Macaca mulatta: one gene and its partners. Each later gene encodes a partner of the first gene's protein in a complex. Links are inferred from orthologs where the notes say so. Each region holds a gene or a part of one and is shown on either strand. Other genes may lie near its edges.

Evidence for each region.
Region 2: SNRPD3 (region 1) and GEMIN4 share a complex: the UniProt entries of both Homo sapiens proteins name them as parts of the SMN-Sm complex. The link is inferred for Macaca mulatta from reciprocal best matches to the Homo sapiens genes SNRPD3 and GEMIN4.
Region 3: SNRPD3 (region 1) and SCNM1 share a complex: the UniProt entries of both Homo sapiens proteins name them as parts of the minor spliceosome. The link is inferred for Macaca mulatta from reciprocal best matches to the Homo sapiens genes SNRPD3 and SCNM1.
Region 4: SNRPD3 (region 1) and SNIP1 share a complex: the UniProt entries of both Homo sapiens proteins name them as parts of the minor spliceosome. The link is inferred for Macaca mulatta from reciprocal best matches to the Homo sapiens genes SNRPD3 and SNIP1.
Region 5: SNRPD3 (region 1) and RBMX2 share a complex: the UniProt entries of both Homo sapiens proteins name them as parts of the minor spliceosome. The link is inferred for Macaca mulatta from reciprocal best matches to the Homo sapiens genes SNRPD3 and RBMX2.
Region 6: SNRPD3 (region 1) and CWC27 share a complex: the UniProt entries of both Homo sapiens proteins name them as parts of the minor spliceosome. The link is inferred for Macaca mulatta from reciprocal best matches to the Homo sapiens genes SNRPD3 and CWC27.
Region 7: SNRPD3 (region 1) and CWC15 share a complex: the UniProt entries of both Homo sapiens proteins name them as parts of the minor spliceosome. The link is inferred for Macaca mulatta from reciprocal best matches to the Homo sapiens genes SNRPD3 and CWC15.

What each region holds. Positions count from the first base shown.
Region 1 is NC_133415.1:28,770,532-28,774,556, reverse strand, and holds the start of SNRPD3 (small nuclear ribonucleoprotein Sm D3), read left to right. Parts: upstream 1-1,202; 5' UTR 1,203-1,220; coding exon 1,221-1,346; intron 1,347-4,025. UniProt on the Homo sapiens protein: Plays a role in pre-mRNA splicing as a core component of the spliceosomal U1, U2, U4 and U5 small nuclear ribonucleoproteins (snRNPs), the building blocks of the spliceosome.
Region 2 is NC_133421.1:2,295,108-2,299,491, reverse strand, and holds the start of GEMIN4 (gem-associated protein 4), read left to right. Parts: upstream 1-1,512; coding exon 1,513-1,522; coding exon of another isoform or gene 1,523-1,915; exon of another isoform or gene 1,916-3,370; intron 3,371-3,384; exon of another isoform or gene 3,385-3,645; intron 3,646-4,384. Other genes in the region: uncharacterized protein LOC721152, read right to left, coding at 341-1,915. UniProt on the Homo sapiens protein: The SMN complex catalyzes the assembly of small nuclear ribonucleoproteins (snRNPs), the building blocks of the spliceosome, and thereby plays an important role in the splicing of cellular pre-mRNAs.
Region 3 is NC_133406.1:115,922,644-115,926,889, forward strand, and holds the start of SCNM1 (sodium channel modifier 1), read right to left. Parts: upstream 2,829-4,246; 5' UTR 2,715-2,828; coding exon 2,664-2,714; exon of another isoform or gene 2,615-2,663; intron 2,390-2,614; coding exon 2,319-2,389; intron 1,963-2,318; coding exon 1,874-1,962; intron 1,777-1,873; coding exon 1,679-1,776; intron 1,572-1,678; coding exon 1,483-1,571; intron 450-1,482; coding exon 255-449; intron 1-254. Other genes in the region: LYSMD1 (lysM and putative peptidoglycan-binding domain-containing protein 1), read left to right, coding at 3,609-3,788. UniProt on the Homo sapiens protein: As a component of the minor spliceosome, involved in the splicing of U12-type introns in pre-mRNAs. Plays a role in the regulation of primary cilia length and Hedgehog signaling.
Region 4 is NC_133406.1:203,243,342-203,247,432, forward strand, and holds the start of SNIP1 (smad nuclear-interacting protein 1), read left to right. Parts: upstream 1-1,244; 5' UTR 1,245-1,287; coding exon 1,288-1,511; intron 1,512-2,768; coding exon 2,769-2,871; intron 2,872-4,091. UniProt on the Homo sapiens protein: Required for pre-mRNA splicing as component of the spliceosome. As a component of the minor spliceosome, involved in the splicing of U12-type introns in pre-mRNAs. Down-regulates NF-kappa-B signaling by competing with RELA for CREBBP/EP300 binding.
Region 5 is NC_133426.1:136,871,289-136,874,872, forward strand, and holds part of RBMX2 (RNA-binding motif protein, X-linked 2), read left to right. Parts: intron 1-548; coding exon 549-678; intron 679-2,669; coding exon 2,670-2,847; intron 2,848-3,584. UniProt on the Homo sapiens protein: Involved in pre-mRNA splicing as component of the activated spliceosome. As a component of the minor spliceosome, involved in the splicing of U12-type introns in pre-mRNAs.
Region 6 is NC_133411.1:72,828,099-72,831,682, reverse strand, and holds part of CWC27 (spliceosome-associated protein CWC27 homolog), read right to left. Parts: intron 1,954-3,584; coding exon 1,810-1,953; intron 1-1,809. UniProt on the Homo sapiens protein: As part of the spliceosome, plays a role in pre-mRNA splicing. Probable inactive PPIase with no peptidyl-prolyl cis-trans isomerase activity. As a component of the minor spliceosome, involved in the splicing of U12-type introns in pre-mRNAs.
Region 7 is NC_133419.1:95,762,667-95,766,958, forward strand, and holds the start of CWC15 (spliceosome-associated protein CWC15 homolog), read right to left. Parts: upstream 2,870-4,292; 5' UTR 2,777-2,869; exon of another isoform or gene 2,758-2,776; intron 1,451-2,757; 5' UTR 1,443-1,450; coding exon 1,312-1,442; intron 426-1,311; coding exon 313-425; intron 4-312; coding exon 1-3. UniProt on the Homo sapiens protein: Involved in pre-mRNA splicing as component of the spliceosome. Component of the PRP19-CDC5L complex that forms an integral part of the spliceosome and is required for activating pre-mRNA splicing.

The DNA of each region.
Region 1 (4,025 bases):
TCGTCCTTCAAAAGTGTTGGGACTACGGGCGTGAGCCATCGCGCCCAGCCGGTCATTTTTTAAAAAGTTCTTTGCATCTCTGCCCCCAGCTCCCTTTCAGGCAGTGGTCCCGTCATGCTTTCCACACTGTTGCAGCAGTTTTAACTGTTGCAGAAATTTTAACAAGTTTCTCTGCTTCTAAACCTTACGTTAGATCCATTTTGTAAATAAATGCTGCTACCTTTTCATTGTGTCATTCTTTACCTATAATTTTGCAGTGGTTCCCCACTATCTTCAGCATAAAATCTAGGCTCCTAAGGCTGAAAGCCAGGGATCCTCACCAAAGGAGCCTGTCTTTTCAACCTCATGTTCTCCTGTCTTAGGTGCACTTAGGTTCCAACTTTGAGTCGTCGCTCATGTCAATAAAAAGTTCACTACTTGATGCTTTTAATTAGGTCAAGTCAGGTGCTTTCCCTTATTTTCCTCCATGACGGGCATTTCCTGCATATAGCACGTTGTCACTTTGATATTTTCTCAATATCCTTGATGGTAAAGTAAGGGAAGGGTTAAAGAGCTGCATTAAAAGTACAGTCTCCTCTCCTAGATATGCATGGTCCTTAGGTCTGTATCTGCTCCTTCCGTAGGGTAGCCACCAGCTACATGTAGCTGTTGAGCACTTGGAATATGGCCACTGGGATTGAGGGACTGGGTTTTTTATTTTAATTCTATTGTGTTTTAGTTAAGTTTAATTTAAATAGCTACATGTGGACATGAGCTACTGTATTGGACAGCTCAGGCCTGTGTTATGATTGTCAAAATGTAATAATCTACAATTAAGGGTTGACAAATAACAGTGCAACAGATTAACATTCCAATCCCCCTCCCCTACACACACAGTATTCGCTAATGGTCCTTTAGCTGAAGATTAAGGGACATAGGGTAGCAGGGACACATGGTCGATGGGAGATGCTCTCTTTTCATTCCTGTTTTTACTTCTGTCCACCCCACCATTCCTCCTCACCCGACATCTTGCACATATTTGCCAGATAGTTTCCTCCAAGCCAGGAGCTGAGCTTTCTTTTTTCTTTTTCTTTGATAGAAAATGCAGCTTTGGCGTTTTTGCTAAGTTTTATGGAGTGCCAGGCCTTGAAGGAGGCATGACGTGTGCCGCATGCCTTCTCAGACTCTGAAAGATGAACTGACTGTTGTCTCTTTCACTGTAGAGCTCTCTTCCTGCCAAGATGTCTATTGGTGTGCCAATTAAAGTGCTGCACGAGGCCGAGGGCCACATTGTGACATGTGAGACGAACACCGGTGAGGTATATCGGGGGAAGCTCATTGAAGCAGAGGACAACATGAACTGCCAGGTATTCTGCTTTGCATGTGAGGCTGTGTGGGAGGAATGGCCCTGTGTCTTGAAGGACAGAAAGGTGTGGGTTGGGGGTCTTCTGTAAATTGTTCTCATTCAGCAGTGATTTCCTGAGTGCCTAACACATACCAGTCAGGTGCTGTTATAGGCTCTGGGGATGTGGGCATGAACAAAACACATAGTCTTGAGGCAGAAAAGCCATTTGGAGATTTGGAATATTTTACTTCGCCTTTTTTGTTTTTTCCATCCCCAAATTTGGGGACCTGTTTGGGAGAAGTTCCTTCAGTAGAATCCTTCAGGTTCAGAGCCATTATCCATTTGCCTCCACTTGCTTTGCAGTTAGGAGAATCTTCTCACATACTGTGTTTGTTTCCCTTTTCTCTTGGAGGAGGAGTCTCATTTGATTATTGCAACTACCTTGTGAGGTAAGCAGGTTTGGTGGTAGTCTTGTCATCCATAAAATAGGGAGAATGAGATTAAAGGACTCATCACTCTGATAGTAAATAATGGAGTAGTTTCTTGATACGGTGTCCTTCTCATGGCGCAGCTTTGCCTTTTGCATAGTCATCTGAATTTTTATAGCATTGTTTTTCAGTTGTATCTTCACACTTTCTTTGTTCTTTAAACCATTGGTTAAGAACTTGGACTTGGGAGTCAGAGAGAGATGTGGGTTTGATTCCTAATTATATGACCTTAGATGTATTAATCACTCAGTTTTCTCATCTGTAAAACGGGAGTGTTATTATTTTGGGTTCTTTGATGTAGATGCCAAGACAGAATTATGCAAGGTATTTATTGGGGGAAATGACAATAAAGGATAAAGGAACAAGGAAACAGTAGTAGGCAGGGAAATTTTCAGTCCGTGATGCTGGTCTGACTGGTGAAACGAGAGGGGAAAGAAGGAGGATTGAGCAGGAAGAACCTTAGACTACAGTGTAGTTTTGAGGAAGTCTCAGCAAGGCAGTGATTGCTCATTAGAAGAATCTAACATGGGGCAGAAATGGGCAGACTGGCACCCCTGGTGTGTTCATTCCATTGGCTGGCAGCCTGGGGAGACAGTCTCTCTCCCCAAGTTGAATGCCATGGTGGACTGCAAAGATGGAGATTGTCGGCTGCCTTCACTCCTCATAGCCTGTTTTCTTTTGGAGGGAGATCTGAGCAGCACACCCTTAAGACTGCCACAGGGATAATATCCACACCCCCAGGACTTTTACAAAGATCAGATGAGCTATATGTGTGCAATAGCTGCTCGGTGCCTCACATACTGTAAGTGTTCAACGTATGGTGTTTACTGCTTTTTTCCAGATGAGAAGGTCAGAGAGGTAAAGCGTCTTACACCACGGTCAGGTATCCTGACCATCTATTGGTTTGCGCCATTCATTTATTTGTGATTTTTCTGTAGCTTTGAGCGTCTATCATCTTCCTGCGAGGTTGACAAGCTTGGTCAGTTCCCTGGATGCAGAGAAGTAGACCTCTGGTGACTCAGGTTTATTGCATCATTGTCAATAGATCAGTTTATCTATTGACAGTAGATAGGTTTATCATCTCTCTTTCATATATCCAGACCTCTGGCTTAAGGCATGCTCATCCACTTTAAGGTACTTTAATTTGGTGAGGAGAATGCAGGACTTGGGTTAGTGAATCTTAATGGGTTTGTCATCTAGCTATATGTATTTGGACAACCTGCTGGGTTTCCAGGGCCTTTGTCATCCCATCCATAACATGAAGGTGTCTAACCAGATAACCTCGGTGGCCATTCAGAGATGCAGTCCACGTGACACAAAGTGCACAGAACTTGGAGTCAGACAGACCTGGAATCAGCTTGCAGCCTGCCACCTAGGGTGACTTGGGGTGAGCTTTGGACCTCCTTCGTCCTCTGGTCCCTCTTCTAAGTCAGGGATAAAAATAGCTCCTTGGCTTCAGAAGGAACCATAGTGCAGAAGAAATGAGTAGATGCATGTCACATGCCTGACCAATGGTGGGGGGGCAGCCACCTGCCTCCCTGCTTGTATTTGTATGCTAGTGCTGCCAATAACAAAGTTTCACAGATTGGGCAGCTTAGACAACACAAATTTGTTTTCTCCTAGATCTGAAGGCTGGAAGTCTGAGATCAAGGTGTTGGCAAGGCTGATTTCTTCTGAGGGATGTGAAGGAAGGATCTGTTCCAGGCCTCTCTCCTTACTTATAGATGACTCTCTTCTCCCTGTGTCTTCACTTGGTCTTCACTCTGTAGTGTTTCTGTCTAGATCTCTTCTTATAAGGATACCAGGCATGTAGAAATAGGGCCCACTCTAATGACTTTTCTTAACATAAAGTTTTTTTTTTAATAAAGTTTTTTTTTTTTTTTTTTGAGATGGAGCCTTGCTCTGTCGCCCAGGCTGGAGTGCAGTGGCGCGATCTTGGCTCACTGCAACCTCCGCCTTCCAGGTTCAAGCGATTCTCCTGCCTCAGCCTCCCAAGTAGCTGAGACTACAGGCACCTGCCACCATGTCAGCTAATTTTTGTATTTTTAGTAGAGACGGGTTTCACCATATTGGCCAGGCTGGTCTCGAACTCCTGACCTTGTGGTCCACTTGTCTCAGCCTCCCAAAGTGCTGGGACTACAGATGTGAGCCACCATGCCCGGCTTGCCTTTTTTTTTTTTTTTTTTTTTTTTGTGAGACAGAGTCTCACTCTG
Region 2 (4,384 bases), on another chromosome or scaffold:
CAGCCTCCCAAGAGGCCGTCACTGGAGAATGGTCTCCTGCCCTCAGATCTTGGGCGTTTCCACAGCACACTGTGCCCCTCTCTCCTGCCAAATACCTACATACGCTCTTGTAATAGGAGGGCTGGGAACTCCACCCAAAACCATACAAAAAGCCAGTCTGTGTATTTGGACGCCTCCCCAGCACTCAGTCACCGAGTTCCTCCAGTTCCTCTGTTCCAACAGCAGTCGGTCACTCTCACGCAGTTTAAGTGATTTATTGATGTCTCGGCTAAGCTTGCGACAGTTTCAGGACGTTTCAGCCATCAAGGTCTAAGAATCCCTTTCCATTCCCGAGGAGCCCTCAGCCAGCCTCTTCCTTCTTCACCTCCTCACTCTGGCCGCGTAGCCCCTCATGGCGTCCATCTTGGACACCCCTTTGTTCGCGCTCCATGCCGCCCACTTCCTTCTTCAGCTCCTCACTCTGGCCGCCTAGCTCCTCACGGCGTCCATCTTGGACACCCCTTTGTTCGCGCTCCCTGCCCCCCACTTCCTTCTTCTTCAGCTCCTCCACTTTGGCCGCGTAGCTCCTCATGGCGTCCATCTTGGACACCCCTTTGTTCGCGCTCCAAGCCTCCCACTTGGCCCTGGCCTTCACGTCTGAGGCCGGAGGGGCGGGGATGCCGCAGTCGCCCTGGGTGGCCTGTTTGTAGAGGCCGTAGATCAGCAGCTTCTCCGGATCGCTCACAGGACCCTTCAGCTGCTTGAGGGCCGCGCGCGCCAGCTCGAACTCCACTTGGCACATGAGGGGGTGGAGGCGGTGCCTGGTGCTCGAAGCTGGAGGTGGAGAGTTGGAATGGCGGTTACTACTCGATCTCAGGGGGGAACGCAGGCAGGCACACGATGTTTGTGTTTTCTCAAGCACAGGCTGCAAGCTCGGGGTCCCGCGTACTGGCGCCACCCCACCACGTTTGGGCTCACACGGTGCATTTTCTGGGGAGGAACAGCCGTCAAAAGCGTCTAGGATCCGGGCCGCTGCTGTCTGAAGGGGGCGGCGCCGCGCGGCAGGAGCGCGTTGAGGGACTGTGTGGGGGGCGGACTGGACGCGTGGGAGTGGAAGGCTCGCGCGGTGCGGCCGCGCTGGGTAGTGGGCGGCCCGCGGGAGGCGCTCGGTGGCGGTGAGCTGTGTGCGGGGCACGCCCGGGGTTACCGGGTGAGGGTGAATGCGGGGCCGGGGACTCGTGAGCCGGACCCGCTGAGACCCCGGAAGCGGGCCAGGGCAGGGGACGGTGCGGAGGGTCTGGGGAGCGACGCCTGGTACCTGAGGGTGGGTGGGAGGCCTCTGCCGGAAGGCGGCGCTGTGCGCTTGGCGCGCTCGTTCGTGAGGACTGCGCGTGCGCAGGGGAGACTGTGGGCGGGGCCTGAGCGCCGCCGCCGTGGCGCCTGCGCCGTCCATTGTGCTGTGCGTCCCGCGCCGCGTTCGCGTTCTCGGAGTAGAGGGGGCGTTAGCCCCGCTCGGCCGCCGGCGTCGCCGCCATGGACCTAGGTGGGTGTCGCGTCTCCTCAGCCCCGGGCTGCGTCTCGCGATGCGCCACCGGGACGGTGCCGCCCCGTCGCGTCTCCTCCTGCCGCGCACGCTCGCTTGGGCCCGGGCCAAAGCGTCCACCACGTCGGGGCGGGTCTGGGGGTCCCCGGGTGGCCTTGACGGGGGTGGTCCGGGTCCCGCTGCGCGTTGGGCCGGGTCTTGCCCACTCCGCGGGAAAACACCGAGCAGACGTAAAGTGAGAGCCCCTGGAAACGCCCGGGGCCCGGGGCTCGCGCACGTGCTTTGAGAAACGGGCTTTCTCCGAGCACCCCCGGGTGTCCCGGCGGCCTCATTTTCTGAACGGCAACTGCGTTCTTGAGCAAGCGTCTTAGGCTCCAAGTGTCTTACGCTCATCAGGTTTCCTCATCGACAGAGCTGGGGGAATGACAGTGTGTCTCCCCACTGAGTGTTGGGCGACTTTTCATGGAGATCGCCGAGGCACAGTGTCCCGTGCAGGGCTGCGCGGGTCACACCGCGGTTGGGGCGGCTGTGTTCCTGAGGCGTCACTTTCTGAACCTGCGTGCGTCCTGATTCAGAATCTTGCAAGGTCTGGGAGAGGGGGAACCCTGGAACTAGGAGCTCCCTGCTAAGCCTCGACACAGGCTGCTAAGACCAGGAGGCTGTTCTGGGAGAGCTGGGGGTGAGGCACCCCGAGATGTGTCAGCAGTAGTAGGCTGGGGGGAAATGGTCTGTTCCCCGCCCCCAGAGAGCTCTTCAGGAGCGGTATGGCAGAACTCTTAGGGCTTGGAGCCCCTTAGCCGTAATTGCTTCCCAGCCCCACCACATCCAGGCGGGGGCACCCTCAGCAAATCGTTTCTGCGCCTCAGTGTCTTCTTCTCTAAAACCGGAATAATAGTCCTCAAAAGGTGGTTGTGAATCGAAGAGATCTTACATGTGCACCACCTAGCACCGTGCCTGGCATGGAGTAGGCGCATAATAAACCTTAGAAGCGGGCTCTGGTAAGCACTAATTAACCATCCGTGATGAAGCACCGGAGTGTTTTCCAGCTAGTAACTGACTTACTACTTCAAACTGTGGGTACTTACTGCGCCTGGAAGGCAGGTGTTGAGGGCCAAACATCTGCTCAGCTAATCCAATAATGCAATAAAATAAAATTTACAGCGTCAGGAGGGACCATATTTTGGGACCCTGGGAGAGCCTCCTGAGCCAGAAAGAAGGGCCGTAACCCCCAGAGAGGTCCCCTCTGCAGCCTGACCTTCCCTGGGAGTCAGATTCAGCCACTGTGAGCTGAGATGGATTGCCTCCACAAGTGGGTTACATAGTGCTGAACCCTTGTCCTGCTGCTGCTCTCATAAATGGTGGGAAGGGTAAGATGGTCCTTAGTTTCCTGGAGTCAGCGTTTTCTCTGCTGGTGTCTGGCCTGGGAAAATGGGGAATATGAGCTCTCGTGGGCATGAGAGACTGAGGAAGGAGTAGCATCTCTCAATCCTAGGAGAGGGGAGAGGCCTCAGGAATGAGGAATAGGAAGCAGTATTTGTACCCTCGTTTTAGTTTCTAGGCCAAAGGAAACATGCCTGATAAAGGCCTATATCCTTTGATGTTTCTGAGCTGGGGGAGGCAAAGAATAGTGACAAGATTCTGGTCCTGCCAACTATGAAAAGGTTTGGGGAAACCAACATTTACTGAGTACCTAACTAGACTCTGTAACCCGATTCTTATTGTAGCTGTATTTATCTATCATAGCGTCCCGGAGAGATGGGGTCAGGAGATAGCAATACCAACCCCCTAGAAAGGGCTTGACTGGTATATATCACATGATCCTCAAAGTTATAACATGAAGTCTGTATTATCCCCACATATGCAGAAGGAAGGCTTGGAGAAGCAACTTGACCAAGATTACATCCTTTTTTTTTTTTTTTTTTTTGGAGATGGAGGGGGTTCTCATTATGTTACCCCAGCTAGTCTTGAACTCCTGGCCTCAAGGATCCACCTGCCTCAGCCCCGCCAAGTAGCTGGGATTACAAGTGCTAGCCACTGCACGTGGCCAGAATCACATTGTTTTTAAATGGCTGAGCTAGGATTTAAACCCATGTCTGATTAAACATCCCAAGATGCTTTCCATGGTAAGTCTGTGTCAATCGTTAGTTCCCTGAAGGAAGGCTTAATCTAGCACAGTATTTTCTGTATCTACTCCCTGGTTTCTCCCACAGAGCAGGGCCATGAGTAGCTTGTTTTTGACCAGAAGGAGCTGTGGGGTGGACTGTTTACCTGAAAGGTAGAAGAATGTTTGAGGCCTGTTCCCAAGGCAAGGTTGTAAAGGGTGAAGGCAGGGCTTGTCTGATTCCTTCTGTGCCCATTACTCCATGGCTGTGTGATTGCTCTGTGCCCATTACTCCATGGCTGTGTGATTGCTCTGTGCCCATTACCCTGTGGCTGTGTGATTGCTCTGTGCCCATTACTCTGTGGCTGTGTGATTGCTGTGTGCCCGTTACCCTGTGGCTGTCTGATTGTGTGCCCGTTACCCTGTGGCTGTGTGATTGCTTCTGTGCCCGTTACCCTGTGGCTGTATGACTGCTTCTGTGCCCATTATCCTGTGGCTGTGTGATTGCTGTGTGCCTGTTACCCTGTGGCTGTGTGATTGCTTCTGTGCCCGTTACTCTGTGGCTGTGTGATTGCTTCTGTGCCCGTTACCCTGTGGCTGTGTGATTGCTCTGTGCCCTTTACCCTGTGGCTGTATGACTGCTTCTGTGCCCATTACCCTGTGGCTGTGTGATTGCTTCTGTGCCCATTACCCTGTGGCTGTGTGATTGCTTCTGTGCCCATTACCCTGTGACTGTGTGATTGCTTGTGTGCCCATTACCC
Region 3 (4,246 bases), on another chromosome or scaffold:
ATACAAAAAATAAGCCAGGCATGGTGGCACATGCTTGTAATCCCAGCTACTCGAGAGGTTGAGGCAGGGGAATCGCTTGAACCTGGGAGGCGGAGGTTGCAGTGAGCTGAGATGAGATCACACCACTGCACTCCAGCCTGGTGACAGAGCGAGACTCCGTCTCAAAAAAAAAAAAAAAAAAAAAAAAAAAAGCTTTGAAACAAGAAGGGTCAGAGAGAAAAGAAAATCTGAGGAAACTGATTAGGCACACTCACCTTCGAAGGGTGAGATAATGGTCCAGGGCTCGTCTTCTTGTGGGGCTCATGGGTGCAGGGGCTGAGACAGTTGCTGACTCCTCGGCCTGTGGGCCAGCCCCAGGTTCAGGTTCCCTACTGATCTTCCCGCTTTGGAGTTCGACCTCTGAGGGTGGCACAGGAGAAAGGGAGACAGAGGGACCAGGGGCTTCTGGTCTAGGTAGAGAAGAATAGTCTGTAAAAGCAGTAAGGGAAAGGGCCAACTCTCCTATGACTCCCAACCTCTTAAAACAGTGTTTCTTAAACTATATTTTTCAAGATATTAGTAAGTTCTGCATACAAAGGATTTTAGAATCATGAATTTGGGAAAGGCTAGCTTTAAATTTTACAAGTTTTTTTTTTAATTCTTAAGACTTTGTATAGCTTTTAAAACTGTTACTCTTTTTTTTTTTTTTTTTTTTCTGAGATGGAGTCTTGCTCTGTCACCCAGGCTGGGGTGCAGTGGCCAGATCTCAGCTCACTGCAAGCTCCGCCTCCCGGGTTTACGCCATTCTCCTGCCTCAGCCTCCCGAGTAGCTGGGATACAGGCGCCCGCCACCTCACCCGGCTAGTTTTTTGTATTTTTTAGTAGAGACGGGGTTTCACCGTGTTAGCCAGGATGGTCTCGATCTTCTGACCTCGCGATCCACCCGTCTCGGCCTCCCAAAGTGCTGGGATTACAGGCTTGAGCCACTGCGCCCGGCCTAAAACTGTTACTCTTCAAGTAGAATTACAAAGTGCCATTTCCCAAACTTTATTTAAAAATCACAAAATTCTCCTTTTCTTTTTCTTTTGAGATGGAGTCTCACTCTGTCACCTAGGCTGGAGTGAAGTGGTATGATCCTGGCTCACAGCAACCTCTGCCTCCCGGATTCAAGCAATTCTTCCACCTCGGCCTCTTGAGTGGCTGGGATTACAGGCACACACCACACACCCAGCTAATTTTTTATATTTTTGGTAGAGACGGGGTTTCACCATGTTGGCCAGGCTGGTCTTGAACTCCTGATCTCAAGTGATCCACCGCCTAAGCCTCCAAAAGTGCTGGGATTACCGGTGTGAGCCACCGTGCCCGGCCAAAATTCTCCTTTTCTTGAAACACTAAGTAACATCTCCAGAACGCTAGTATTCCTCAGAATACAGACTGGAAAACACTTTCAGAGCCCTCTATCTCCTTCCGAGCCTTCCTACCTCTGGCTTTCCCCTCCCATACCTGTACTTCCGGCGGCAGCAACTGTTATAGTGGGGAGCTCTGTGCAGAGCACTCTGGGTGATAAGTCGTGTCTGGGTTAGCAGAGGAGCCTGGTAAGAAGATGGGAGACAGAGTCAGAGCCTTCAGCCCTCTGCCCTTCCAGCCTGGTGTGTGCAGCAGGGTCTTGCCTAGAACACACTCTCCACTCTCTGATTACCTCAGCTTTGGTTTCTTCCCTCCTCAATTCATTCTGATGTCTTGGATTCTGCTTCCTTTCCTTTCCCGGCTGCTTCTTGCCATAGAAAAGCTGCAAGCCTGAAGAGAAAGGGAAACAGAATTAAAAGCATAGCACCAAGGCTGGTGTGCAGAGATTTCGATTTATTCCCCATCCCCTGTCTTCCCCCGAACTTACTGGACAGATGTTTCTTGCCTGCACGGTGGGCAGTCAGCATGGCCAGGGTGTCCAGTACCGGTCGATGGGGGCAGATGGCACAAGCAAAGCTGAGCAGGGGTAGAGAAGAGGATAACTGGTCCAGGGGAAGAGGGTTGGGCCTGTCCCTGCCGTAAGTCCCACCCTGTCCTAGCAGTCTTTGCAAAACCCAACTCCCTGGTGACCCAATCTCCACTTCTTCCAGTCCTCACTAGCCGCCAAAGAATCCTAGATACTTCTGCTGTCCTAATTAATAACAAAAGTTTGTTGAAGCCGGGCGTGGTGGCGTGCGCCTGTAATCCCAGCTAATCGCGACGCTGAGAAGGCAGGATCACTTGAGCCCTAGAGTTCAAGGACAGCCTGGGCAACACAGCTATTGAGCCTCTAACCGCAAAACCCTCAGGCTTGAGCCACTCCTCGCTCTTACCGTCCATCCCGAAGCATCAGCGCCTCATCCTCTGGGATGTAACTGGCGAGGAGGTCCCCGACTCTTCTTTTCTGCAGGGAGTAGGGGAAGAAATCCGGACGGATCAGCAGGATAGGAGAGAGGGATGGAAGTTAAATGATAGAAATGAGGAGTCAAACGGAATAAGGACATAAGGACCCTGGGGAGAACAGCGATCATAGACCGAAAAAGGAGTCACTACACAGCTCTAAGTCGCCTGGTTCTCTCCTGCACCCCCGAGTTGTTGCCAGAGCAATGAAACAAAGCTCCTTCCCAACCTTCAGAGAGCGACTGAAGAGGCTGCAGATCCTCTCCGCTCACGCTTACTTTGAGCACATTGAGTTGACTCCAATCGTCTCCTTCCCTCTTGAAAGACATCACGACTGTGAGTCCCAGAAGTGATAAATTTTCTTGTTCCGGTTTCGCCACTCCTCTAGGCCACCGTAGCAAGAGCGGGACAGCGCCTTCTCTTTTCTCTTTGTCTTCCTGTCGGCCCCCGTACTTCCGGGAATGCACTTCCACGCATGCATTGCGCCATCCGGATATCCACTCTCTGGCGCGTGGAGGGAACTGCATTTCCTATGGTGCCGTGCGACTCCGCAGACGCGACGCCTTTTGGGAAATGAAGTCTTTTCCTCAAAGACCTTGCCGCTCAGCTGGATCCAGGCCCTTGCATCTTGGTGGATCTGAGGCGTTTAGAGGGACAAGAACCTAGATGTGGAGCCGAAATTTGAGGGTGTGACCTATCTGATGCGGAGCGGACCTTTGAGGATCTCTGAGTGGAAGGTGTACTACAAATTCTCGCAATCCTCACGCTCTTCGTCTGCGGCGACAGTTCACCTGGGGTGGGCCTGATTTGTTCCTGGCTCTAGCAAACAAACCCCGGGACCGGGCAGAGCTGGGATGTGGGAGCGCCCTGAGGCCAGACTACTTGGGGGCAAACTGAGGAAAGAGTGTTGAGGATTATTTCTAGAGTTCAAAGGTCAGAGGTCAATGTAGCGAGGAGTTGTGGGGGAGTTCAAAGTCGGAGGGGTGCTTAGGGGCGAATCAGGGAGGGACTGAATACTCAAGGGACAGATTTGTGGATAAGGACTTGGAGGGAGGAGAAACCGGGAGGGGGCAGGTGGCGTAGTGCTGGGGAGGCGGGGACACAGGGGAAGAGAGAAGGGGAAAGGAATCCCCTGAATATCTATTCCCAGACTTCAGGCCTGTCATTCGCAGTCTCGGTCGGGCCTCCCCTAGTTGCAACCTAGCTGTCGGCAGGGTGAAGAGATGGCTTCCCCGTCTAGACAGCCCCCGCCAGGGGGGTCAGGACTGCTTCACGGGAGCCGGGCTCGTTCATATGGAAGCCTGGTGCAATCGGCCTGCTCCCCAGTGAGGGAAAGACGCCTGGAGCATCATTTGGAGCCCGGAGACACCCTGGCTGGACTAGCACTCAAATATGGGGTGACGGTGAGTTTTCCAGGATTGGGGTGCAGACAAGAGTCAGGAGGGATTTAGTCCTGAGAAGAATGTAGTGGACCTTCTAGGTAACCTCCCCTGAAATGTTCCTAATGTGTTGAACTCTGTTCTGCTTTTATCTTTGTTTTCCCATCACAGTGTTGCACTGCGTGGTTGGGACAAGTTCTGCTCTACTATTCCAATGGAGAGGAACAGCTCCTATTTTATCATGCCAGACACTGTGCTAGGGGCTTCACATACGTTAGCTCATTTCACCCTCACGTCCGTATCAAGTATACATTTATTGTTCCCTTTTGGCAGATGAAGAAACTGAGACTTGGATTGGTTAACCATTTTGACTAAGGTCAAATAATGATTGTCAGATATGGGATTCAAACAGGTCTGTCTGACTCTGTAAACCACACAGAAAATTTTACATTGAGAGTGATTAAACGTTTACAGCAAATAAT
Region 4 (4,091 bases), on another chromosome or scaffold:
CCATCACGGCTCACTGCAGCCTCCAACTCCTGGGCTCAAGTGATCCTCCTATCTCTGCTGGGACCACAGGCACGAGCCACCAGCCCCTGCAAAATTTAATTTTTGTAGAGACAGAGTCTTGCTATGTTGGGCAGGTTGGTCTGGAACTCCTGGCTTCAAGCGATTTTCCTGCCTTGGCCTCCCAAAGGGCCGGAATTACAGGCTGCAGCCTCCGTGTTCGGCTGTAAATAGCTACTTTTGACAGCATAACGGTCTCTGGTCAGGTGTGATTACATTCTTGGGAGGAGAAGAAAGAAACAATTATTCCTTTTGGTAGTCTGTATCTTAGGCAGATAAAGACCTGCGCTTTGGGAGAGATGGTGGGCACCGGGAAGGAACATTGAGGCTTCTTCAGTTCGGCATGTCAGTGCGCCATATTTTGGGGTTTCGATTTCTGAGCCCCAACAGCATTGCAAAAAGTTCAGGAAATAGAAGAGGAAAAGCTAATGATTTGCCCACGGGTTATCATCTCTGATTGCATTTCCATGTCTTCCTCCCTTCTATTTCCAAATGTAAATGTAATTATGGTTTGCGCACAATTTTGTATCCTGCTTTGTCGTTAACAAGTCAGGGTTTTTAAAGTTTGTAAATGGTTTACTAATGGCCACATAACACCCATTAATTTGGCTAACTTCCCTACTGCTGGGTATTTACATTGTTTCCACGTTTTGTAATTACCAGTAATGTGGCAACAAACAGTCTTGAGAGGTTTGCTTTTTCCCAGTTTTTTGTTGTTATTGTTGTTTGTTTGTTTTTGAGACATCTCGCTCTGTCGCCCAGGCTGGAGTGCAGTGGTGCGATCTGCGCTCACTGCAACCTGCGCCTCCCGGGTTCAAGCGATTATCTTGCCTCATTCTCCCGAGTAGCTGGGATTACAGGCGCGCGCCACCACACCTGGCTAATTTTTGTATTTTTAGTAGAGACGAGGTTTTGCCATGTTGGCCAGGCTGTTCTCGAACTCTTGACTTCAGGTGATCCGCCAGCCTCGGCCTCCCAAAGTTCTGGGACTACAGGCGAGAGTCACCACGCCCAGCCAGAAGTTTGTTTTTGAAACTTGAAACTCCCGCCACCCAAGCCGGTCACTGTGGCTACGCCCACTAGGGAGTAGTCACGTGTTTAATATCTGCCGCGAGGATTTCTGGGAGGTTGGGCACCCCGGAAGCGGAAGTCCAGGAGTCAAACTCGTCATTTCCTTCAGCTAGAGGAGCTCAACGGATCTGTTTTCTTTCGCTCAGCCAAAATCACAGAATGAAGGCGGTGAAGAGCGAACGGGAGCGAGGGAGCCGGCGAAGACACCGGGACGGGGACATGGTGCTGCCGGCGGGGGTGGTGGTGAAGCAGGAGCGTCTCAGCCCAGAAGTCGCACCTCCCGCCCACCGCCGTCCGGACCACTCCGGCGGTAGCCCGTCTCCGCCGACCAGCGAGCCGGGCCGCCCGGGCCACCGCGGGAACCGAGCCCGAGGAGTTAGCCGGTAAGTGGGGGAGCAGCCCAGGATGGACGTTGGGTTGGGCTCATTCAGAAAGGCGGGCAGGGCTAGCATCCGAAACAGGTTTTGAATGCTGGGCGCAGCAGCCCGGACTTAATCCTGAGGGACTGTTGAGAGTGATCCAGTCGTGCTTGTGTTATGCTTGCTCTGTCACTTGCCTTATAGCTCGGTGTTCAACGCCTAATGACACACCGGCAGGATCCCACTCCTTCATTCTTGTGTCCCCAGCACTTCGAAGAGTGTAGCCCAACAGATAGCACTGATAATCTGTTAAATTGGAATGAGATTTTCCCCATCCCGCCCACAAATGGAGTGTGGGCCTTGTCTTTCCAGTTACCTGCCAGAAAGGTTTTCACATCGAGGTCTAGGCGAGCTACCTAACAGAAACTGGAAAAATAAAAATAAAAAAAGTTACTTCTTGCTAGACTCATTTATTTATGCATTCATTCACCATAGTTTTACTGAGTGCCTATTTTAAGTGTGAAAGACTGCCCTAGGTATTGGGGCTGCAAGGGCGATTCAGTTAGATGATCTTCACCAGTGCCAAATTGGCCGTGCTCTAACCCTGAGACAGATGATTAAAAAAAAAAAAAAGTTTCAATAACAAGTATTATTGATAGGTTATAACAGTAATGTGATAGAGATTGGAGAGAAGAGGGAGGAGGCCTCTTTAAAGAGGTGCCATTTGAGTCCAGACCTGAGTGATAGGAATGATTCAACCTCTTAAAGATCCAGGCAGAGGAAACAACATCTGCAAAGAACTTGAAGTAGAATGAATTATGATTGAAATGGGAAAAAGCCAGTGTCGGTGGAGTATAGTGGTCAAGAAGGTGGGTGGTAGGAATGAGATGGCATAGGGAGGAAGTAGAACCACAGGATGGAGGGATTGTTCCTGATGCTAGGGGTGTTGGTAGTGAGGGATAAAGAATCAAGGGTGACTTCCGGATGGTGATGCCAGTTAGCAAGATGGCAAGGAGTAGGAGAGGAAAGGTTTTTGAAGGGTTGGAAATTAAGAGTTTTGTTACCTAAGTGAGAAGGTTCAGTAGACAGTTGTCTATGTGAGTATGGAATGCAAGGGAGACGTTAGAGCTAGGAAAATGAACCTCGTGACTCCTTTAATGTGATTGGCAGATACCTTCACAAAAGCAGTGTTTGTGTTAGTAGGTAAGCCTGATACTGGAAGCTAATTTTTATGGGGGAAGGGAAATTGCGATAAAATCCTGTGTACCATGCTCTGTATAGGTCCCCACCCAAAAAGAAAAACAAGTCCTCAGGGAGAAGAAGCAAGTCTCCTCGGAGTAAGAGAAACCGAAGTCCTCACTACTCAACAGTCAAAGTGAAGCAGGTAAGTGGATTGGGGTGTTTTGATGTTGGGTCCAAATTGAGAGCCTTTTCCTATCACAGCTAAAGAGGGCTGTGTGTGTGTGTATTGTGTGTGTGCGCGTGTGTGCACGCACACTCGCCTACATCTCTACCTGTACCTCCAATGGGCTTTTCTGAAAACTGGGTGTATTTCTTTTTTCTGCTTGTTTGCTTAAATTAAACTTTTTATTTTGAGATTATTATTGGTTCACATATGGTTGTCAGAAATAATTCAGGGAGATATACTCTTCCTGGTTTCTCCCAGTGGTAGCATCTATTCATAATAGAACTGTGGTACAATATCATCATCAGAATATTGACATCGATATAGTCAAGATAACATTTCCTTCACCACAAGGAATACCTCATGTTGTCCTTTTGTAGCCACACACACTTATCTCCCACTTTTATCCTTCCTTAACTTCTGTCAACTTCTAATCTGTTCTTCATTTCTATAATTCTGTCATTTCAAGAATGTTATGTAAGTGGAATCATACAGTATGTAACCTTTAGGATTGTCTTTTCTCACTCAGCAGAATCCTTTGGAGATTGATTCAGGTTGCAGCTCTCAGTAGTTTGTTCTATTTCATTGCTGAGTGGTATCCATATGGCATGGATTTAGCCACTTACTCATTAAAGAACATCTGGGTTGTTTCCATTTTTTGGCTATTACACATAAAGCTGCTATATACACATTTGTGTACGGGTTTTTATGTGAACATAAGAGTTCATTTCTCTGGAGTGCAATTGCTGGATTGTACGGTAGTTGCAGGTTTAATTCTTTTAAGAAATTGCCAGACTGTTTTCCAGAGTGGCTGTATTAGTTTCCTAGGGCCACCATAATGAAATACCATAGAGTAGGTGGCTTAAACAACAGAAATTCATTTTCCTGTAGTTCTGGGGCTAAAAGTCAAAAATTAGGGTGTTAGCAGGTTTGGATTCTCCTGAAAAAAATCCTCTTTCCTTGGCTTGCAGATGGCTACCTCTTTGCTGTATCCTTAAATGATCTTTTTTCTGTCCTGGTGTCTTTTCTCAGCCATATTGGATTAGGGCCCTGCCCTCATTTTTTAACTTAATCAGCTCTTTAAAGACCTTATCTCCAAAAACAGTTATTAATACATTCTGAGGTACTTGGGTTTGGTACTTTAACTTGCTAATTTTGGAGAGTACAGTTTAGTCCGTAACAGTGGCTGTACCATTTTA
Region 5 (3,584 bases), on another chromosome or scaffold:
CTTCATGGATTCTTGAAAATGTCATCTTGTAGTATTCAAAGATATCTATGTATCTAATAGTCCTACATTAATATTTGTTAGTATAATTATGTGTATTAATTCATCTGATTTTATTTTATTTCTGTCCACTTTATGCGTGATAAACTTCAAAGTGATGTGTTAAATTCTCCCATAACTTTCTCTCTTAGTTTCTCTTTGCATTTCTAATAGCTTTTTTTAATTAAAATGTTTGATTTCTTAATTGACTCAGAGTTTTCCTGATGTATACCTTTATTGTGTATTTAGGCCTTTTTCAGTGTAAAATAATCTTAGTCTCATGTGATATTTTTATTTTGGCCTTGAATTAGTTTTTGCTCTGGATATTGCCACCCACTTTTAATTGGGTGTTCCTGTACTTGTCTGACTTTTTCTTTGCAACCTTTCTGTGTCATCCTGTTCTAGATGTATCTCTTGTACACACTATGTTATTTGAATTTTGTTTTATTACCTTATCTGCATGTTTTTGCCTTTTAAGTCAATAATGTCTTACTCTTTTATAAAATAAATAGATATGGCGAGATTGTTAACATTAATCTCGTGCGGGACAAGAAAACTGGGAAATCCAAAGGGTTCTGTTTCCTCTGCTATGAAGACCAGAGGAGCACAATTCTGGCCGTCGACAATTTTAATGGGATCAAGGTGAGTGTGCTTATTAAGCAGATTGGTTGGACTTTTTTCCCATGTATAGGTGTTTCTTTTTCTACCTGATTCCCACAGACACAAGGGCAGCACTTGTCAGCTTGGTTTGTTGCGGGGGCTGCAGAGATGTGGAGACGCTGGTCAAGAAGAGATTCCAGGAAATAATTCTGTTGGCTCGTGGCCCTGCAGTACTTGCTTCTTTTCCCCATCTGTAAACAAACCATCTCCCCAGGAGCATAGGCACCAGGCCTGCCTCTCATCCAGGCCTCTGTTTTTCACCTTTCTTTTTTTACTGTCTACTATCATTTCTGGTGCACTGGAGGATGAAGAGACTAGCAAACATTGCTCTTCCATATTGTCCTGTGTTGGGAGTTTTGGGCTTCAACATGGCCTCATAATCTAGGACATACCCATGTATGCCTGTCATGTATCTCCAGTGACCTAGCATATTGGGCTCTAGAAATTCTCTAGTTAAAATCCGATGACAGATTCTACAAAAGTAATTTCATCCTGAAATTTTCTCCCCCCAGATCCCTCTTATTTCCACTGTCGTAAGTGAGGCACTGAGTTCTTAGAAGGAGATAGGGCAAGTCAGGCGTATTGATGCTCCATGTGGTTGCTGCACTCATTTAGGAAAAAAGCTGCAGTTGAAATGAACAGTGTCACAGAGTTGGTGTGGGGAGGCTTGAGTTGGAGAGTTTGTCACTGATTCACGAGTATGGGATAGCTGGAGATTATAGAACAGAGTGGAACAAGGTTCTAGGCTTGATGTTTAAGGAAGCCAGCAGTCAGAGGGCGTCATTGTAAAAGGAAGGTTTTCCAAAGTGTTTCAAAATGGAGAAGAGGATACATAACAGAAGCCGCTCAGGCTTCAAGGTAAAAATAAAAATCTGCTCTTGTATTGGAACAATAAAAGCCAAACTTTAAATTTTGAATGGCTTTGCCTAGAGAGTAAGTCTGTATCTGCCTAAAAATAGAATGTTTTTATTTTAAGTGAGGTGTTAATTTTTTGGGGGGCGGGGGGAGGGGGACAGGGTCTCACTCTGTTGTCCTGGTTGGAGTGCAGTGGCGTGGCCTTGGATCACTGCAACCTCTGTCACCTGGGTTCCAGTGATTCTCCTGTCTCAGCCTCCTGAGTAGCTGGGATTATAGGTGTGCACCACCACACCCGGCAAATTTTTGCCATATTGGCCAGGCTGGTCTCGTACTCCTGACCTCAAGTGATCCACCCGTCTCGACCTCCCAGAGTGCTGGGATTACAGGTGTGAGCCACTGCGTCCGACCAGAGGGGTTAATTTTTTGTTGTTGTTCACCTGGAGAGTTGTGATTCGTAGTGCAAGAATCAGTGTGAGCCTATTGTTCCAGTATGGTGGGGCTAGAGCAAGGTGTGAGGGCTGAAGAAAAAAGCAAGTGCCTTTTTCTCGATTCCTTTCTCCCTCCAAACTGTTGGTCTGACTTTGCCTCCTAATTACTGGGTCGAGAAAGCAGTTGTAGCATTAAGCCAGATTTCAAGAATTCCTTCTAGTTGCCAGACCTTCCTAGGGTATGTTTCACTGTAAACTTAGGTTACAGATCAAGGGTAATTCATTATGCATCTAAATCTCAGTCTTCCCTGATGCTTGTGCTCTGAGGTAGTATTTCCTAGTCTTTTTCATTTTATGGCACATACAGAACATGAAGATATTTGCATGGTGCCCTGGAGTAAAGTGATGAGGCTGCTGGTACAATTGCCCCAGGCCTCACCTGGCTGCACTGAGAGGCTGCACTATATATTTTATAATAATAAAATTATATTAACTAAATATTAGTATAAATTAATATTTAGGTGTATATGCTATGACACACCAGTTGGGCAGGTCTGCTTTAGTGACAGAATTTAGCAAGAAGGTAAAGGATGTAGTTCAAATCATGGTTCTCTGTAGCTTGTGTTCAAATAGTTGGCAGTTTGGTATGAGGGCCGTCTTCACTGAAGCGTTGCCTGTCTTGCTTAGATCAAAGGAAGAACTATCCGAGTGGATCATGTGTCTAACTATCGGGCTCCTAAGGACTCGGAAGAAATGGATGATGTGACCAGACAGCTCCAGGAGAAGGGCTGTGGGGCTCGTACCCCCTCACCAAGTTTGTCTGAGAGCTCTGAAGATGAAAAACCAACAAAAAAGCACAAAAAAGGTAAAGCATTAAGACCTAAGAGAAGATTCTGGATGGCCTTAATGTCTGCTCTTCCTTGCATTCATTGATAGTTGAGAATCAACTCAAGTGTGAAAGGGGAAGGTATGGGGAAGCATAGTTTAACTGGGAAAGTGGGGAGTATCAGTGGAAGGCTGGTGCTATGGGCAGAATTGTCTCTCTCCCCAAGTTAATATGGTGAAATCCTAACCCCCAGTGCCTCAGAATGCCACTGCATTTGGAGATAAGGTCTTTGAAGAGGTAACTCAGGATGGGAATTACCTTGTACAGCAACTTGACATATCAAGGGTGACAGACATCCAAGTTGGCTTCTCGAGGCACTCTCCTTGGAGGCCTAGACAGTGGCCCCTTCATGCTGCTGCCAAGGTTGTTCTCTTTATGCACATTCCTCGCCTCCTAGCATGTGAATTTTTTTTTTTTTGAGACAGAGTCTTGCTCTGTCGCCCAGACTGGAGTGTAGTGGCGCGATCTCGGCTCACTGCAAGCTCCACCTCCCGGGATCACGCCATTCTCCTGCCTCAGCCTCCTGAGCAGCTGGGACTAGAGGCACTCGCCATCACACCTGGCTAATTTTTTTTGTATTTTTTTTTAGTAGAGATGGGGTTTCACCGTGTTAGCCAGGATGGTCTCGATCTCCTGACCTCGTGATCCACCCGTCTCGGCCTCCCAAAGTGCTGGGATTACAGGTGTGAACCACCGCGCCCGGCCGTGAATGTTTT
Region 6 (3,584 bases), on another chromosome or scaffold:
TTTTTCTTCTTTTTTCTTTTGGTTTCTCTTCTCGCTTCATTTCATTCATTTGATCCTCAATCGCTGATACTCTTTCTTCCAGTTGATCGAGTCGGTTACTGAAGCTTGTGCATTTGTCACGTATTTCTCGTGTCATGGTTTTCATCTCTTTCATTTCGTTTAGGACCTTCTCTGCATTAATTACTCTAGCCATCAATTCTTCCACTTTTTTTTCAAGATTTTTAGTTTCTTTGCGCTGGGTACGTAATTCCTCCTTTAGCTCTGAGAAATTTGATGGACTGAAGCCTTCTTCTCTCATCTCGTCAAAGTCATTCTCCGTCCAGCTTTGATCCGTTGCTGGCGATGAGCTGCGCTCCTTTGCCGGGGGAGATGCGCTCTTATTTTTTGAATTTCCAGCTTTTCTGCCCTGCTTTTTCCCCATCTTTGTGGTTTTATCTGCCTCTGGTCTTTGATGATGGTGATGTACTGATGGGGTTTTGGTGTAGGTGTCCTTCCTGTTTGATAGTTTTCCTTCTAACAGTCAGGACGCTCAGCTGTAGGTCTGTTGGAGATTGCTTGAGGTCCACTCCAGACCCTGTTTGCCTGGGTATCAGCAGCAGAGGCTGCAGAAGATAGAATATTTCTGAACAGCGAGTGTACCTGTCTGATTCTTGCTTTGGAAGCTTCCTCTCAGGGGTGTACTCCTCCCTGTGAGGTGTGGGATGTCAGACTGCCCCTAGTGGGGGATGTCTCCCAGTTAGGCTACTCAGGTGTCAGGGACCCACTTGAGCAGGGAGTCTGTCCCTTCTCAGATCTCAACCTCCGTGTTGGGAGATCCACTGCTCTCTTCAAACCTGTCAGACAGAGTCGTTTGTGTCTGCAGAGGTGTCTGCTGCGTTTGTTTACTGTGCCCTGTTCCCAGAGGTGGAGTCTACAGAGACAGGCAGGTTTCCTTGAGCTGCTGTGAGCTCCACCCAGTTCCAGCTTCCCAGCAGCTTTGTTTACCTACTTAAGCCTCAGCAATGGCGGGCGCCCCTCCCCCAGCCTCACTGCTGCCTTGCTGGTAGATCACAGACTGCTGCGCTAGCAATGAGGGAGGCTCCGTGGGTGTGGGACCCTCCCGGCCAGGTGTGGGATATGATCTCCTGGTGTGCCTGTTTGCTTAAAGCGCAGTATTGGGGTGGGAGTTACCCGATTTTCCAGGTGTTGTGTGTCTCAGTTCCCCTGGCTAGGAAAAGGGACTCCCTTCCCCCTTGCGCTTCCCAGGTGAGGCAATACCTCGCCCTGCTTCAGCTCTCACTGGTCGGGCTGCAGCAGCTGACCAGCACCGATCGTCCGGCACTCCCCAGTGAGATGAACCCAGTACCTCAGTTGAAAATGCAGAAATCACCGGTCTTCTGTGTCGCTCGCGCTGGGAGTTGGAGACTGGAGCTGCTCCTATTCGGCCATCTTGCTCCGCCCCCCAAGAAACTAAACTTTAAACTACTAAATGTTATTACCTAAATGTAAAATCAAAATCCGAAAATGTAAAATCAATACTGGCTAAGTGGCACATTATTAGCTCATACCATTACTATGGTTTTAAAGAAGAAATACACTAAAGTCACAACTAATGAGTGAATTGAAAGATGCAAAAAAGAATTTAGCTGCTCCCTCATAGTGCACTATAATAGGAATATATTCCATCATTTTTGTAAAGAATAAACATATCCTATGGAATGTTTTGATGAAGGTAACTCTTAGATAAGTTAATCATATGTATCTTAGAAGCCTAAGGAATAACATAAAACCAAAAACTGAACCACAGGTTTAAAATCACTGGACACTAACCTTTCCAAAGATGGTATGCTTATTGTTAAGTTCATCCGCTCGACCCAGTGTGAAGAAAAACTGGCTGCCATTATCATGAGAACCAGCATTTGCCATGGCAACCAGGCCTCTCCGATTAAAACGCAACCGTGAATGAAATTCATCCTGAAATGTAAAAAAGATCTAGTGAATGTCCTCAGTTATAAGACCCGTCATATGCAGTTATTCAACTTGACCCGCAAGGTCCCGTACAACTTCTAATAAAAAATGCAGACATTTTGCTTAATTGATTTTTGAGCACTTACTATTCTTTCAATGTTATTAAACTTGAATTCACTAGACTGTATTTTCTAAATATACTCATACAGAAATATACCCTATTTTGTGGAAAGCTGCTTAGTTATACCCAAAGGAAGAGTACCCAAGGGGGAATGGATTTCTAAATTATTTCCCTACTCTCATCCCAAAGTCAGCTAAGCTTTTGAAATCTTCTCTTACTTCTCCCAGAACACTACCTTTGAGCCATTGCAGAGTCTTCAATTATTACTCTTTCCCATCTCATTCTAAATGTCATTAAACAATTGCTTTCTTCTTGTTTTTTAATTCAAATAATCTACTATTATTGTGTCATGTAATTTTACCATGTCTTTTTAAAGTCCTAAGTTGAATCTTCTCTGAAATGGCACTGATTCTATTTGCCAGTTTTCAAAAGAGCAGGAACAAGTCTTTCTAAGGTGGTTTTCTCACCACGATAGGGCTACTTAACAAATATATTAGTCTCTTAGTTAACAGAATTTCCTTCCAACCTGATATTGAAGTCATTTATAAATGTAGCCATGTTATATCATAAATGCTTTTCACAAAGGGAGATTTTTTCCTTAATAAATAATTCTCAAGAGATCTGAACTCAATGGATCACAACTCTGTATACTGTATTCAAAATGACCTAATTGAAAAATGTAACAAGATAACTGTATTACCTGAAAATAATGAAGCAAAAATCTCAAGTTAGGAAGGAATTGTCAAAAACAACTATTCTGTTACACTAAATAAAAGAATAAAAGAATGTTTCCGACTAGACGAAGTACCTAAAATCATGAGAAGTCTTACTATGGTAAAATATAAAACAGTCTAAAAGTGATATCTGAGACTTTTAAAGTAACTATTCCAAATTTCTAAAGCCATTATCATCTGGAAATTAAAGCAAACAGTTCAAATATTTTCTTCAAGAATGACACAATGACTTGGTAAAAGATGAAAGGAAAATGCAGACAATCTATTCCATTAGTATAAAAATGAATTTTTCAAAAACTCCCATATTTTAAGAGATACTGTTTACTCATTCAAAGAACATGATATTGGTGCCATCAAATTAATAACAAACACAATTTTTAGCTTTTACTTGAACTTGCTATTGTTCTTAATATCTTCACTATGACATTAACTCTTTTTCTTCTTAGATCTATGTTGGCAGATAAGAAATCACTGACCTATTCTTGATTAATGCATCTTTTACAGACAATTTATTTATTTATTTTTTTTTTTGAGACAGAGTCTCACTTGGTCGCCCAGGCTAGAGCGCACTGGTGCGATCTCAGCTCACTGCAACCTCCACCTCCCAGGTTCAGGCAATTCTCCTGCCTCAGCCTCTTGAGTAGCTGGGATTACAGGTGTGTGCCACCATGCCTGGCTACTTTTTGTAATTTTAGTAGAGACGGGGTTTCACCATTGGCCAGGCTGGTCTCAAACTCTTGACCTCAAATGATCCGCCCCCCTTGGCTTCCCAAAGTGCTGGA
Region 7 (4,292 bases), on another chromosome or scaffold:
GTTCTGAGGGGAAACAAAAATCACTTAACTTAGTAAAACAAATACTGCATTTCTTAAAATGTTTTAGGGACCTGTGGGCACGAGGAGCCCACACTGAAAGCATTATCCACAGTGAAATCACATCCACAGTGCCTGGGCAAATAAGCCTTTGGTAAATATTTGTTATTGTTATCTCTAATGACTTAAGAAAGTATTACAGCTCACATCAATCTGTAAAAGCAAACAAATGGTTAATATTTTCCAGTTGCTACATAAAAGAAAAACTATCAACAACATAATTTTAGAGATAAATGTCTTGGATAGTGTTGGTACCTCGGGTTGGACGATCTCTGTTTTTCTCTCTTGCAGCAGCTCTCTCTCTTTCTTCCAACTCTCTCCTGAAGTCACGGTTACGAACCTCTTCAGGGGCATCCTGAGTAGTTTGTCTAAAGTAGAAACAAACCAGGGCAAAAATGGTACTTAAACACACACACACATACACACACACACGACTGTGGTAATGGAAGACAATTCAGGAATGAGACTTTGTCCTTCAAGCATAAAAAAGGGAAGTAGATAAGATCATAATCTAATCTGAAAGTTACTAACAGCCACTCTTGTGATGTTCCCAATATTTCAAGAAGTCCAAATTCAATCACGCATTTTCCTATAATAAGGCTTTACGTGATTAAAATGTCTTTAATTTTTATTGGTATTATCAACTCAGAACTTAACAGTAATACTTTTAATATATTGACTGGTGCTGATAGTGCATAATCTCTCTGAGGCATTATTATTTCTGTTATTTATTGTTGTATCTACATACGAAAATTTCTGGTTAGTAGGAATTTTGCATTTTAAAACCACAGGGCAGAATTTTAGTGTTAAACATCCTATTGCATTCTAATCCTATGATAATAGATAAGTGACATAACTCGAACATACTACTATATCATGACCATGCCATTTAACAGATTTGGTCTTGTTTTGTGAACAAGAAAAAAAAGAGGCTGGGCGCGGTGGCTCAAGCCTGTAATCCCAGCACTTTGGGAGGCCGAGATGGGCAGATCACAAGGTCAGGAGATCGAGACCATCCTGGCTAACACGGTGAAACCCCGTCTCTACTAAAAAATACAAAAACCTAGCCGGGGCAGGTGGCCGGCGTCTGTAGTCCCAGCTACTCGGGAGGCTGAGGCAGGAGAATGGCGTGAACCCAGGAGGTGGAGCTTGCAGTGGGCTGAGATCCGGCCACTGCACTCCAGTCTGGGCGACAAAGCGAGACTCTGTCTCAACAAAAAAAAAAAAGAAAGAAAAAAAAGAAAGTCTTACTACCTGTATTTTATCTTTGTGTGAGAGGGTAGGTCTCTGCTTGAATACTGCTTTGAAAGTTGGCTCAAATCACCTTCTCCTTTTCCCCTTCCACCTCTTGCAGGTTCAAAGGTTGGCCTGGCTGCTGTTGTCATCTTTTATGCTTTGAAGAAAAATATAATCAAGTTATTTACAACAATACAAACACTCATTTTACAGAGTATTAATATCCATACTAGTGAAATAAATTCTAAAACTCATTCCCCTAAACCTGCTTAATCTTCTTAAACAAAAGTTTTCAGGAAAACAAATTATGAGGCTTAGGCCATACAACGAATAGGGCTTCTCAGGCTTGTCTTAGTACAAAAAATTCTGTCATGAAGATCTGAGTTTGCATCCCTATTCTCCTTCTGACTATATGGGCTTGAGCAAGTCACCTGGCTTAACTTTCTGTCATCCGTGGAATGGAGATATTCCTCATAGGATTACTATAAGAATTATGACACTTGACATGTCAAAAGCCTTGAAAAATACAGTACCACCATGACTAAGTTTTAAAAATTTCCAACTCAACCTTACTCTACCAGACTCTCTAAGGTTTGCATTTTATCTAAACTTCACACAATAGCAAATAGGCTAGTAGAAACAAAAGCTAAAAACAAACAAAAAATATCACTGACAAAGTTACTAAGTGTCTGAGAAAAAAGTTACTAAGGAAAGTGTGTTAAACTTCAATGACAGGTACATAGAAAAAAATTCTTAACCTTTTGTTGAGCCAATTTTCTCCTACAACAGGCATCATATTATAAATCAGATCGTTTGTGGGTTATAACTTAAGGACTGTTCAAAAAAAACAAAAACAAAAACAAAACAGGAACCTCAGCCCCAGAGGATTCTGATGACAAAAATCAGGGACCCATTCCTTAAGTTACTTTCTGCTTGGAGCAGTCACAAGAATACTGCCTAGCAGATGCAGTCATTAAAACCCTGTTAGTGTCGGAAAAGCAAGTGTGTGGGGAGGGTGGGCGAACTGGGAGGATTTTTTTGGGGGGGGGGAGTGCTTTCTCCTAATTTTCAAAAAGAGTAAGAGACATGTATACAAAGAAGAAACGGGGTTATCTGGAGCTGGGAGTCCGCCCCTTCCCACACACTAACGGAATTATCACTCCGGCCTCTCGTGAGCTAGTCTTTGGCTATAACCAGAAACTCGTTGCCCCTTAACCCGTGCCCAGCGCCGCAGGGGTGCGAGGGGTAGTGAAAGGAGGACCTGGGGTTCGCTTTACGCGGTAGGCGCGCTGCCTTTTATGCTGCGATCTCCTCTGCGGCCCGAGAGCTCCGGACGCGCCTGACAGGCACTCCGTTTCGCCCCTAGCCCGCTGCTCTAGGTCCTCCACCGCCCGCACTCTGCACTCTGCCGCCGACTCCGACCCCAACTGCCCTTTCCCGTCCCACCGGGATGAGGAAGATAACCTATCCTCCTGCCGCTCACACTGGCCGAGGTCCGATGCAGCAATCTCCGAAGATCATACAGACGCCATTACGACTCCGGGCTCCCAGAAACCTCTGCGCCCAGGGCTAGCGCCTACGACCCGGAAGCAAAATCCAAGCGCTTCGGAGGCGGAAGCAACGACCAATCCGCAGTGGCCGAAGTGGAAGTCGGCGTAACGGCACTAAGGGGCGGGGCCGAAACGGCCCAGGGGGCGGGCGTTTGAAATCAGTGCCTTAGAGTAGACCCTAAATATCATTTTATACCTTCAAGAACCAATTACTTAATGTCTCTTCCGTCTTTTCCGTCCCCGACCCCCTCCCAGACTCCTTCATTCCGGTACTGCGTGGACGGAAAGCCCCGGGTAGCCGACACCACGTCCCCGGCTAGCGGGAGAGAGCGTGGAAAAGGATTACACCAAACTGTTTAAATCCAACGACTCCTGCTTCCATCCTTTCTCCTGAGCTAGAACCAACAAACCTAGAGAGTTGGGCTTCGGAAAAACTAGTGTTTTCATTTAATTGGATATGAAGAAAGAACAAATATGTACGGGGCAACCACGATCTTTACAAAGGTACATTCCTGCAAAAATATTAACACTTCAAAGCAAAGGTTGTATTCGTAATGTTTGCTAAAATTTTTTATTTAAAAAACGTTAGTTTTAGTGGGAGGGGAGATGTCAATATTTACGACAGCGTTTAGAACGGTGGGCCCAACTGCCAGGAGCACAAGATGTAATTACTAAGATGGCTACTTAAGTGTTAAGTTTTAATAAGAACGAAAAGGAGAAAACCCAAAAACCAAAAACCCACCAATCCTGTCTCCTCCCTTCCATAAAAAAAAATCCTGAGAACAGAGATCTTGATTGTTTAGCTAATCTTAGTATCTCATCACATAGACCTTGACATATAGTAGCTGCTCAATTAATATTTGTTAAACAAATGAAAATTCAACTTCCCCAACTTAGTTTAAAATATAAAGAACTCACAAAGTTGAATATTTAAATGCTTTCTTACCTCTAAATTCTTTGCAACTTTTAAATGAAGAAAGAAAAGCAGAAAAAGCCCTTTCACTCATAGAGTTCAAGATGAAAATCTTGATTTTTCTTACTAAAGGTATCCCTCCTCCAGTCTTACACGTCTCACTAAAGGACACGATCATCATACTAGTTACTCAAACCAAAATCCCAGAGTGCCTACTTAAATTCCTTTTCTTTCACTTTTCACATACGGTTCATTTACAGGTCTTACCAATTCTACTTTTAAAACTTACCCGAAATTTTATTCTACTGCCATTACCCTTGTCCTGGCCAACACCATCTCCTACCTGGATTGTAATTGTTTCCTATTGTATCTTCCTGCGTCATCTTTTATCCTACAGTCAATGCTGCATATAGCCAAGAGAGTGATCTTTTAAAATTAATCAAATGGTGTTACTATCCTGTGTAAAATTTCACTGCAGTTAGGATAAAAATCACATTTCTTAATGTGACCTGAGACGCCACGGAGTCTGGCTCCTG